Bombyx mori: one gene and its partners. The main gene of each other region encodes a partner of the protein of the gene in region 3 in a complex. Links are inferred from orthologs where the notes say so. Each region holds a gene or a part of one and is shown on either strand. Other genes may lie near its edges. The genes, in order: ATP-dependent RNA helicase me31b, regulator of gene activity and CCR4-NOT transcription complex subunit 1.

What was found.
Region 1: the proteins of CCR4-NOT transcription complex subunit 1 (region 3) and ATP-dependent RNA helicase me31b are in contact, whole or in part, in a crystal structure (PDB 4CRW), measured with the Homo sapiens proteins. The link is inferred for Bombyx mori from reciprocal best matches to the Homo sapiens genes CNOT1 and DDX6. Residues at the interface, in NP_057368.3 of Homo sapiens: Glu1097, Ala1100, Phe1101, Phe1103, Asn1104, Asn1105, Leu1106, Ser1107, Ser1109, Asn1110, Lys1114, Lys1137, Arg1138, Ile1141, Glu1142, Asn1144, Phe1145, Leu1148, Tyr1149; in NP_001244120.1 of Homo sapiens: Phe329, Ser330, Arg331, Leu332, Gln333, Ile334, Asn335, Gln336, Leu357, Gly358, Tyr359, Ser360, Leu384, Arg386, Asn387, Ala402.
Region 2: the proteins of CCR4-NOT transcription complex subunit 1 (region 3) and regulator of gene activity are in contact, whole or in part, in a crystal structure (PDB 5FU7), measured with the Homo sapiens proteins. The link is inferred for Bombyx mori from reciprocal best matches to the Homo sapiens genes CNOT1 and CNOT2. Residues at the interface, in NP_057368.3 of Homo sapiens: His1864, Ser1865, Ala1866, Ala1867, Arg1870, Asp1871, Gln1917, Pro1921, Ala1923, Pro1925, Ala2003, Tyr2036, Leu2039, Glu2040, Ser2043, Arg2045, Ile2048, Ala2049, Ala2053, His2054, Leu2079, Leu2084, Lys2086, Gln2089, Ile2090, Leu2091, Tyr2092, Lys2093, Gly2094, Leu2096; in NP_001186231.1 of Homo sapiens: Met350, Val351, Asp353, Gln354, Phe355, Gly356, Met357, Ile358, Gly359, Leu360, Leu361, Phe363, Ile364, Arg365, Gly372, Met373, Val374, Leu376, Ala377, Leu378, Gly379, Ser380, Asp381, Leu382, Leu385, Leu387, Asn388, Leu389, Ser391, Glu393.

What each region holds. Positions count from the first base shown.
Region 1 is NC_085118.1:10,829,589-10,832,169, reverse strand, and holds the end of ATP-dependent RNA helicase me31b, read right to left. Parts: coding exon 2,168-2,581; 3' UTR 501-2,167; downstream 1-500.
Region 2 is NC_085113.1:7,420,672-7,424,513, reverse strand, and holds the start of regulator of gene activity, read left to right. Parts: upstream 1-1,539; 5' UTR 1,540-1,898; coding exon 1,899-1,949; intron 1,950-3,831; coding exon 3,832-3,842. UniProt on the Homo sapiens protein: Component of the CCR4-NOT complex which is one of the major cellular mRNA deadenylases and is linked to various cellular processes including bulk mRNA degradation, miRNA-mediated repression, translational repression during translational initiation and general transcription regulation.
Region 3 is NC_085107.1:17,968,356-17,972,097, forward strand, and holds part of CCR4-NOT transcription complex subunit 1, read right to left. Parts: intron 2,404-3,742; coding exon 2,182-2,403; intron 2,109-2,181; coding exon 1,925-2,108; intron 1,859-1,924; coding exon 1-1,858.

The DNA of each region.
Region 1 (2,581 bases), on a different chromosome or scaffold from region 3:
TTTCTTCAATGTTTGTCACCACACGTGAAAAGCAAATTAGCGATAAAAACTCGAGAACATACACGTCTTCTTAGTGAGTTTTTTAACGTTTTTTAGCGTAAAAGTTAACTGAAATTTGTATGGAGTTGGAACGTTTGCTGCTAGGGGCGCTGTTCCAACTGGGTACAAATTTGAGTTAGCTTTAACGCTATCTAGAACTTTAAAAAACTCGCATTAAGCACACAGTTCTACAGAAAAAAGACGGGATAAATTGATAACCTTGTGGAGGTCTATTAATAATAGATTATTTCTGACTATAATATGAGCGAAACCCCGAGTAAAATTATTATAAAACTACTAATACATTATAAATCCCAAATTGTACGAAATTCATTTAATTATAAAAAAATGTTTTAAGAATTTTAAGCTGTTAACTTGTACAATATGTGTATTGACCGTTTCCAGGGCGTCTTGGACTTCTTGCAAATAGGAAAAATATAATATTTAATAAAAGAGAACAATGGCGTGAAGAGTTTTATTTTTTGGTCAACAATTTTATCACTTTTTTGTGTATATATATAATATATGTTTAATATATCTTGTGAGGTTTTATTTTAATAATAACAACTTGAACTAATTGATATGCTGCATTTTTTCCATAAACATTTACAGAAATTTACTTTTCAAAATATCAACAGAAAGCTGAAGCGAAACATAACTTTAGTCAGTGAATTCTATTGTATTATGTTAGTTACTACACTAAAACTTCAGTCTGCTAACTTATAGTGTTACAGTTACAGGCGGAAGACGTCACAAACCATTCTGATTATTTCAATGAACATACATATTTTACCTTATAATTTCTATCACAGATAATTTTCAGCAACAATGAATTTTCATTAAGTTTTAAGCACTGCATTACAATCAATCAAATTGTAACAAACTGTGTACATACTGTTACTTCACATTTAAGTGCATTTAAAATTGACTAAGAATAATAATCCAAATCAAATACTGTATGTACCCTTTTTTTTTCAAATAAAGATATATCCGAATTTTAGTTGTGATACCATTTTCTGACCAAATTTAACTCTTCACTTGACATCCCGAAAAGTTTAATCCCCAGAGAGCAAAACATTTGTTTCATTGTAATGACAACTGAAAGCTCTCAAAATAATAACCCCCAAATAGAGTGGAGAATACCATATATCTGCAAGCCGTCACAGAATAGTGCATTCCCCAATCTCGTTAAAATAGTCACAGATTTCAAATTATTCAAGGAATGTAAAATATTTACTTGTTTGTAAAGGCAGATTCGTTTTGTTGGGCTTTGTAGAACTTGATTGTTATTTATTAGTTTTTCATTTTACTTATTGGTTTGAATAACTTGATTCTCTCGATTCAATTACTTTAGCCCATCAACATCAAATGCCATACATCTACTGTGACTATGTAAGCCGCTTTCGAAATAATATTTAAAATAGCTGTTCTTGACTCTAACCGGACACAAAGTTAGCCTGCAACAGACATTCAGTTTGACCAACACAGCAACCCTTCTGAATAATTAGTTTATCAAACTGAAGCTGCTTCATGACATTTTTCATGGAAAACGGCTTGAAGTTATTTAACATTGTTTCAAGCGGTCAGAAACAACATTTTTTTACACTGTTTTTTTTCTAATTCCACCAAATTTCTGATGTTTCAGCCAGACTTACATTGCCTATCCGTAACCAAACGTGTATTTTTTTTGTAAAAAAAAATTAATCCGGTGCTGGCTCAAACTTCATGTTTTTACGGATAGACATTTATAATATACATTTATGAAAGTCTACCACAATTTATGAAGAGATCATGGACAAATTTAGGTAGACTTTACCAGAAAACAAACATTTTCTTTTTATTTCTGTGGCTTAACGCACATTGTCCAACACGAACAAAAAGCATCAAGATACTTCCTTAAATTTGATGTTACGTTTATGTACACTAAAAAAGTGACCATTTTGAGGTCAAAGTCTTATTTCACGATAAACTACATTCACACGCACATTTTTTGTTACATTAAATTCATTTCACTTTTTACAAATAAGTTTTTTGTAGTTAAACTGTTTTCATTCACAAGTCAGCAAGTCCAGATATTAGAAGCGTGCGCAGAGCGCGAACGTATCAACGCGGCGCAGACGGCACGGCGTTACTTGTCGCCCAGATCTTCATCTTCCGGACGCGCTACATATAGCGCAGGATCTATCACTTTGGGAATTGGCTTGATTTCAGTACCCAGTTCTTGTTCGATACGATGTAGTGCAAAACGATCATCATATGTGATTAAGTTTATAGCAATACCAAGGTGCCCAAAACGTCCAGAGCGTCCTATGCGATGAAGATATGTCTCTGCCATTCGAGGAAAATCAAAATTGATAACGACATTAACTGCTTGCACATCAATACCTCTAGTGAACAAGTCTGAACACACTAAGTTACGGCAGAGCCCAGCACGAAAGTCGTGAAACACACGATTACGATGAGCTTGTGCCATTCGTGCGTGGATGTAGTAGCAACAATATCCTAACTCTGTTATCTTCTTGGCTAACAACTCCACCCTTTG
Region 2 (3,842 bases), on a different chromosome or scaffold from region 3:
CAAGACGGCCCTTTTCGATGTTGAACTCCTCCTCGGCCTTCGCATCGATTTCTTCGGCCTTTTCGTTGGCCTCTTGTTCGATGAAGGCCATCATGTGCTTGATCTGAATTGAAAAATATAAACATTCTGATCAAAAATACGGAGTATAATGCTCAAAAACATGAAGTCCAGTCGAGGCAGTCTTATGAGTTGTCGAAATTACAATGGCACATCCCGATCAATGATCGTGACATATAATCCTTAAAATACTTGATTTTGTAGATAAATCAGTTTTGTTTATAACAAATACCTGTTTCTGAACATCTGCATCGCTGAGCGCCATGGCTGCTGCTTATTTTTAACACCACTAACACGAAAAACGGCCGATATAGAGCCAGAAAATTAATGACTGGCTCGGGGAAAGAAGTCTACGCCTATCAGACGTGCTTCTTTATTGAACAATCATATGATCTTAGTGTTGCCAAAAAGTATTGATCAGACATAGACAATTTTTTCTGAAATATTCAGAATATGAATCAATATATACATCTCGATCCTTCTTTGCTCGATGTCGGTAAGTGAAAAGGATATAAGAACTAGGTCGGCAGAGGCCGTATTCTGGTCGCTAGTCATAAAGCACGCAGAAAAACTTTTTGATTTTGTTCTATTTATGTAAATAAGATATAATAAACTTTTTTTAGCTATTATAAAATTTTTGGAATCAGATAGCGTTCCCATGTTTGCCGCCAGAGGCACTGTTTCCACTACATACAAATTTGAGATCTTTTACGCAATTGAGAAGTTAAAAAACTTGCACTAAGCACACCGAAGGACCGTCTTCTGACCGTTGTCGAAACTTTGTTAAATCTGCAATAACAGCAATGTGCACCCGATCCTTAAATATTTTCGTTAATGTTTTGAAATGAAATCCACAATTTAACTGCTGTTGTAAATTGTGAATTTGAACTAGGTAAAATGTATTTTTAACGATTTTCTACCCATCTGTACCAACGCCAGTGGTGGGCGAGCTCACAGACCTCTACCTGAAAGAAATTGTTAACACTGCTCTGGCTTCGCTGAATCTACTACCAGTTAAGAATCAAGATTCAATGAGAAACTCAGTGAGTGTCATAGGGGTTCAGTACTCTCAGTTAAGCTTCGATTTTACGACGCTAGTGGAGGGTACTTGAGACTGGGTTGAAGAAGGCCGAAGGCCTGGATCGAATAAGGCAACGACGATTGTTCGTTGTCATCATATAGGTCGGGAATGTAATTTACGGCGGCTACGATAAGAGGGCTATTACGCCGTGCAGCTTCCTCAAAGAAAGGTTCTGATGTTCTCTTCAAATATTAACGAATCGCTTCTAAATCCAAGTATTCGTGAAGATCTGAATCTTATACACCGTATACATTTTCCTTGTTTAAAATTTTCATTTTCTAATGTAAGATTTAGAAAAGGACGAAGAATCAAATATTTGCTATATATACCTAGTTAAATTTCATTAGATTGTAGTCTACGTAATGTGTGCGTAGATTGCTTTCAGACGCCATCCAATCTGCCGGAAATGTTGTATTCACAGTGATACAGAAAACACCTCAGGGAAGATAATAGATGTCTGACTCGAACTCGTTTTCAGTTATGTTTAAAATATTTTTTGGTTGGGTTTTATTATAATGAGACCGTCCGATCCATTCATCTGTTCACCTATCGGAATCATTAGGAAAGATGAATGATCCACCAAGCTTCCGGCACTTTGCAGGAATAGTTTAGTTTTAGACAAGGGAGGTGGGTAGTTTATAATTTTCAAATAATGGTTGTGAAGTTTAGATTATTTAAAAAATAAGGCTTTAAGTTAAAAAATAATTGTTTTAATCCTAATTTAGAGATTTTTTAAAGTAATTCTGAACAAAGATAAGAAATGAAGAAACGAAGTTCTACGAGGCACAGTAGCCAAACTCATGAAGATCAGGTTTGCTACTTATAGTTATGCTGTAGAGTCTTATAAAACTCTCAAATACACGTTTAAGCACAGTATTATGTACAGTATTACAGGTTTATGTACAGTAACGATGCTACGGATTGCACTAGTATGGGTAGTATAGTAATGTAAATTAAATAATTTTATTGTAAATTCTTAAAAATATTAGTATAAATTTTAAATGACAGATCTATAATAAAGAGACAAAACGATTTATACTATTTAAACTATTTAATAAAATTGTCAAAACTATTTTTATTTTTTAACAAACTAATTCATACGGCCTGGTTTTGAAGCTTTTTGATAATTTCCGTCTGCTTCTTCAACCTTTTAACAATATGGCCGCCTGTTGTTTAGGGTAATGTGGCGTTCAGCGAAATCGTATGAAAATTTTAAAACATTTATCAGTGACGTAAAGATGTATCAAGTTTACAGTGTTTTATAGCAGCGTTTTACGCGAAGACAGTTTTATGTACCATTTATATTGGTGTTTAAAATTTTGAATGCACAAAAAACATCAAAATTGGACAGTCAACAAATCTTGTTTATTACATCGAAGCGGAAATATTTATCTTGGCAGAGTATACGCGATTATGAACCATTCTTATTCTTTATAAAATAGTTGAACAAGGACTGATAATAGGTAAATATTGACAACGTTCTCAAAGTGAGCCCAACAACATCACAACAAAAATTGTCGCCATTGTTTGACAGGGGCAACTAAGCCATTTACTGATCTTTAATACATTCTCCATATCCTCTCTACTGTATAATATGCTCAACTGAAAACAGTTTTGTGATGCTCTTCAACTATCATCTCTCTCATACGTCATGCATACACTTAACCAAAGTTTAAATTAATAATAAGCAGCATGCAATTCCATATATAGTTAAGTATTCCTTCTACTTTCTCTTTCACATTTCCAACTACTTTACAACCGATTACTCCATGATTTAAATATTAGTTTTATTTATATTATATATTTATAGCCCATATTCCATAGAGTTGAGTCACACAAAATTGATCTCTTTTGTCTCAAACTTGATAACAAATTTTCTGATTTACAACAAACATTGTATTCAGAGGTTCTGCACATATTGGCACAGAATTTAACTGCTTTTCCGTTTAATATAACCATTGTGTCAACATACTGTAATTACTTGTGCAAAATACTTAAATTGTGAAAATTATTCTTATAAATGAACTCTAAAATCACAATACGAACCAGATACTGATAATGTAAGAGCAATAAAAATTATATCTGCTTATAAAATTGGAACACGATTTAAATATTTGAAATTGTAAATGAAATAGGCATGAATCTGAATAAATTTTATTCTACATCAACTTCGTCTCACACTTCCTTGACAATACCTCTGTAAAATTATTAAATATGTCCACTACATGATTATAGTCCATTGTGTGTAGTCATTTATCTATTATATATTATTAAGAGGAACTTTTACCAAGTAGATGGGTATTTTTGCTTAAGAAACGTTTTATGTTTTAGATCAAAACTAAATTAAATCTAAGCATTCACTAGGCACAAGTCAGGTTTCCGGTAAATGTAGCATAAAGATGTTATCCTTTTCCCCTACCTATGCTGATAGCCTTGAGAGGCTAGCAGAGGGAGATATTTCAGCTTCCACTGAGAAGATCCAACTAGAAACTCAGTGGGCTGTGTTTATTGGTTAATTTACTCGTTGAGCCCTTCGCCACAAGCAGTGGGTTGTGCAGGTTCAGAGAGGACGGTGGCCGGTGCTTAAGGTACCTAAAAGCACCGTTTATAGATCGGGAGATCCGTAATGACGTGCTTAGGGCAATGTTACCTACAATAATTATATCATATTGTAAAAAGGCTTATTTTTTTAGGTTATGGCAAA
Region 3 (3,742 bases):
GCCATTCTCGCGAGCGCTCCGAGGTTTGCGTTGGGCGGTAACGGCATCATGGCAAACGGACTGTTAGGTCCGCCTCCAAGTAGCCTAACAGGAGAGCCCGGAGTGGTTACGAGTGGTCCGAGTGTACCGGGCATAGCAAATGCAGTATTCGCGGGGGCACCTAAAGTCATATTTGCCATGCCCGGTGCCAAATTACCGATAGCGTCAACGTGGGGTGTAAACAATTGCCCTCCTAGGCCAGCTGGATTGAATTGAGTTTCCATGACCCTTGTATGAGGTCTTGCTATTCCCGCAATGTTTTGTCGTGTTTTGCTGAGTATTAACGTCTGACAGCTTCCTATTACGTTGTAAATAGCCTCCTGTAATTCTTGAGAAACATTTGGAATGCATAGTTGTAAGCAAGCCAACATTGTTGTAATCGTTTCGGGTGGCAGCTGCGCAGCCTTAGGCAATTGTTCTTCGGGTGCCTTGCCGAGCACCTGTGGACATCGCCTTTGTAAAAATTTCACCATAGCCGACACAAACGTCTCACCGTGATCTCTGATTTTGTCGGTCAACCATTTATCTAATTTGAGATACTCCCTCCTAGACGCCAAACAAGCCAAATCAATAACAAACGGGAACGATTGTACATTCAATAAGAGCGACAGCGCCTTTAAATCCTGTGCGACGTCCAAAATTCTAGATAATTTGGATTGGTCACTCTCACCGCGTATGTACCAATCTGCCATTGAGTGCATGATGATAGGTTTTATGTTAGGGTTCTGTGTATGCCAGGCGTGGTGGAGAATTATGCCTGAATTTGGATGATTACCTAGAAATATTGGAATCAGTGTCGTCAATAACTCTTGCCTAAAGACAGTAATCGGTGGACTGATTTGCAGTAAAACTAAGAGCAAAATATCGGGACAATGTTGAAGTGGCATTTTAAAGAGTTCATGGACTTGCATGTAATAACCACGCTCTGCAGCATACAGCAGTAACTCCACTAAGTAGAGGCAACGCCAAGTGCCCACTTCTTTGTTGTCGGTCTCAGGAGGAGATTTCAAAATGTCTATTGATACTGGATGAAAAGGATGATCGGCAAAACAGAATACGTCAGAATGTTTGAGAATGTGGCTGATCAAACTCATCTGTCCTTCCAAATTCGTCCACCGTCGGCATAAATACTCAACGGGGAATATATTGGCCGGATAGCCGGCGCTCTGTAGACCAAGTCTCAGTATGGTGAATAGTAGGGATAGTCCTGTTCGGTCTGGTACAAAGAATTCTGGGTGATCCAGCTGTAGTATCACTTCCTTCCAGTTCAGATTAGATGCTAATTCTTTTAATGTCTGAACAAATACTTCAGCATTCCATTCACTGTGTGGATGTGCAGCTGGTTCTTTTTTAGCTTCATGACTCATCCAAAAGTTGCCTGGTGTCTGTATTTGCGGACCGTCTTGTTGGTTACTGTGATAGCGAACCATCACAGCTATGATTCTAGCCACGTCTATTGCGGTTGGTTCTCTCGCACCAAAGTTTATCATATTGTTCTTGCAATCCTCAACTGAAGTTGTAAAAGCATGGCCCATATCTCGGATAATATCTGGCAGGGAATTCTCCATCATGGCAGCAGCCATATCATCGGCTGAAGTCATTTCCTCGAGAGGTGTCTGAGTGTCGTCCGGATAAATCAACGGTGCGAGTACTATCGGGACTACTTCACGAGGGAAGTCTGATCTCAGTCTCTTCAAAAACAAATCCTTCGTAACTGCCGCTAATTTGATATTGTCGAGCGCGAGACTCGTGAGGAGTGACTGCAACACTTCAGGGCTGCATTCCTGAAGTCCTGCACGCTCCGCCTGATGTCCCCGTTCTGTAAAGCACATATAATTAAATATTTACTTCAAAACTTTAAAAAAACAATAGAAATAAAGCTTGCCTGCGTCGAGATAGCACTGTATTAAATCCAAGAATCTTTTCTTCAAGTGCTGCTTTGCAACTGCAACTATCTCACTCTTTGTTGAATACCTTCTCAGAGCCAATGAAAAGGCAACATCCTCTGCTGTAGTTAACTTCAACAGTCTAGATAGTCGATTCAATAGTGCATTTGTAGGCTTTAATAGCTAAAAAATAAAATTTAAGAATAAAATCACATCACATTTTTCCTATTTCTGAGTTAAGGGTTAACAGACTGACCTTTGTTACAGAGCGTGTTGGATGATCAACAGCCCGGCAAACAACTGTTGATTTAGCTGGATGATTGAGCAAGCCTGCCAACTGTTGTCCAAGAAGGGAGGCGTGGATGCTATTAGTAGCTGCAGAAGTTGTACGGTCTCCGTCCCAAGCTATCCTTGCCGCTTCAGTGAGAAGACATCTTAAAACTTGATTCTCTGCTTCCAAGCCATAGACACTGACAATCTGCAGCAACAAAAGTACTTAATTTAAGATCAAACCAAAGAGAATGCTTGTAGTCAATGAAATAGTATAAAGTATATTCCTAAATTTGATTCACAACACAAACATCAGTTTTATTAAGCTTCATATGTATATGTAATTAATTAAAATGGAAATTGAAAAAATCTTTTACTAGGTAATTCTTGTTCCTACTACTATTGCCAAGAAAATGACAGTTATAAGACTCATCAAACACCATTTTGGCACACATCTCCATATATTTTTAGCAAAATTCAATAGTAATATTGTGTGCCATAATTTAGAATAATGTATTTAAAAGACACATAAGAACTTCAGAATTATTAAACAAAGAAAAATTCTTTATTTATTCATCCATACTTTCAACAGTTTCAATTGATAGATTTCTCATCTCTCACCATACATCAACTTCAATGATTTCATAAATTGGTGCATAAAGCTAAATGTACAATAAGCTGATAACCTCTGGTTGGCAATACATTGACTTGTTAGGCTTTATTAAAATTGACAGTCCCCCAGCAAATGTGAATATGAGATTAAATTGAATGAACACTTCCTACACAATAGTCCTATAGCAAGCATGTAAGTTAATGCATTTTGTTCTTTGCCGATATTAGCAATTATGCCCTTTGCAAATCTACGAAGTCATTATTGAACTACCAACTTATCTCTCACCAAATTACTATGAACTATTATATTACTTGACATAACAGTAGTACAAAATACAATACATACATACATACATACATACATACACACATACATAAATTCTACCAATAAAGTTGTTTACTCAATTTTACAGCAAATGGAAAAACAAATTTATTAATTTCACTTAAATGGCGTCAATACTATCAGAAAACCAACTATCGATACAGATCGACTGCGAATTATCACTGTGTTACTTAGACAGTTTGTTTTTGTGGTGCGTGCAAATGGTATGTGTATGTGCCACACAATTCGTCTCACTATTCATTACACTCCCTGAACATATCATATTACTTAATGGTGCACCACTATTTGAGGTAAGTTCTATTAAGGATCTGGGTGTGTCCATTGATAGTAAACTGTAATTCAGCACTCATATTGAAATTATTATGTACCAGAAAGGGCTCTAAAATAAAACATTGGGATTAACATTTCATAATTTTTGTGAATTTAATAAACTAAATACATACTAAAAAAACAATTTATAACACTCATATGCAGTTCTGTGGAATCTTGCTATATTTTGTGGAATCTATATGATGAAATACATATACAAGGAATGATTGGAAAGTGTCCAGAAACATTATCTGTGGATTTTGTCATATAACTACAATCTTGG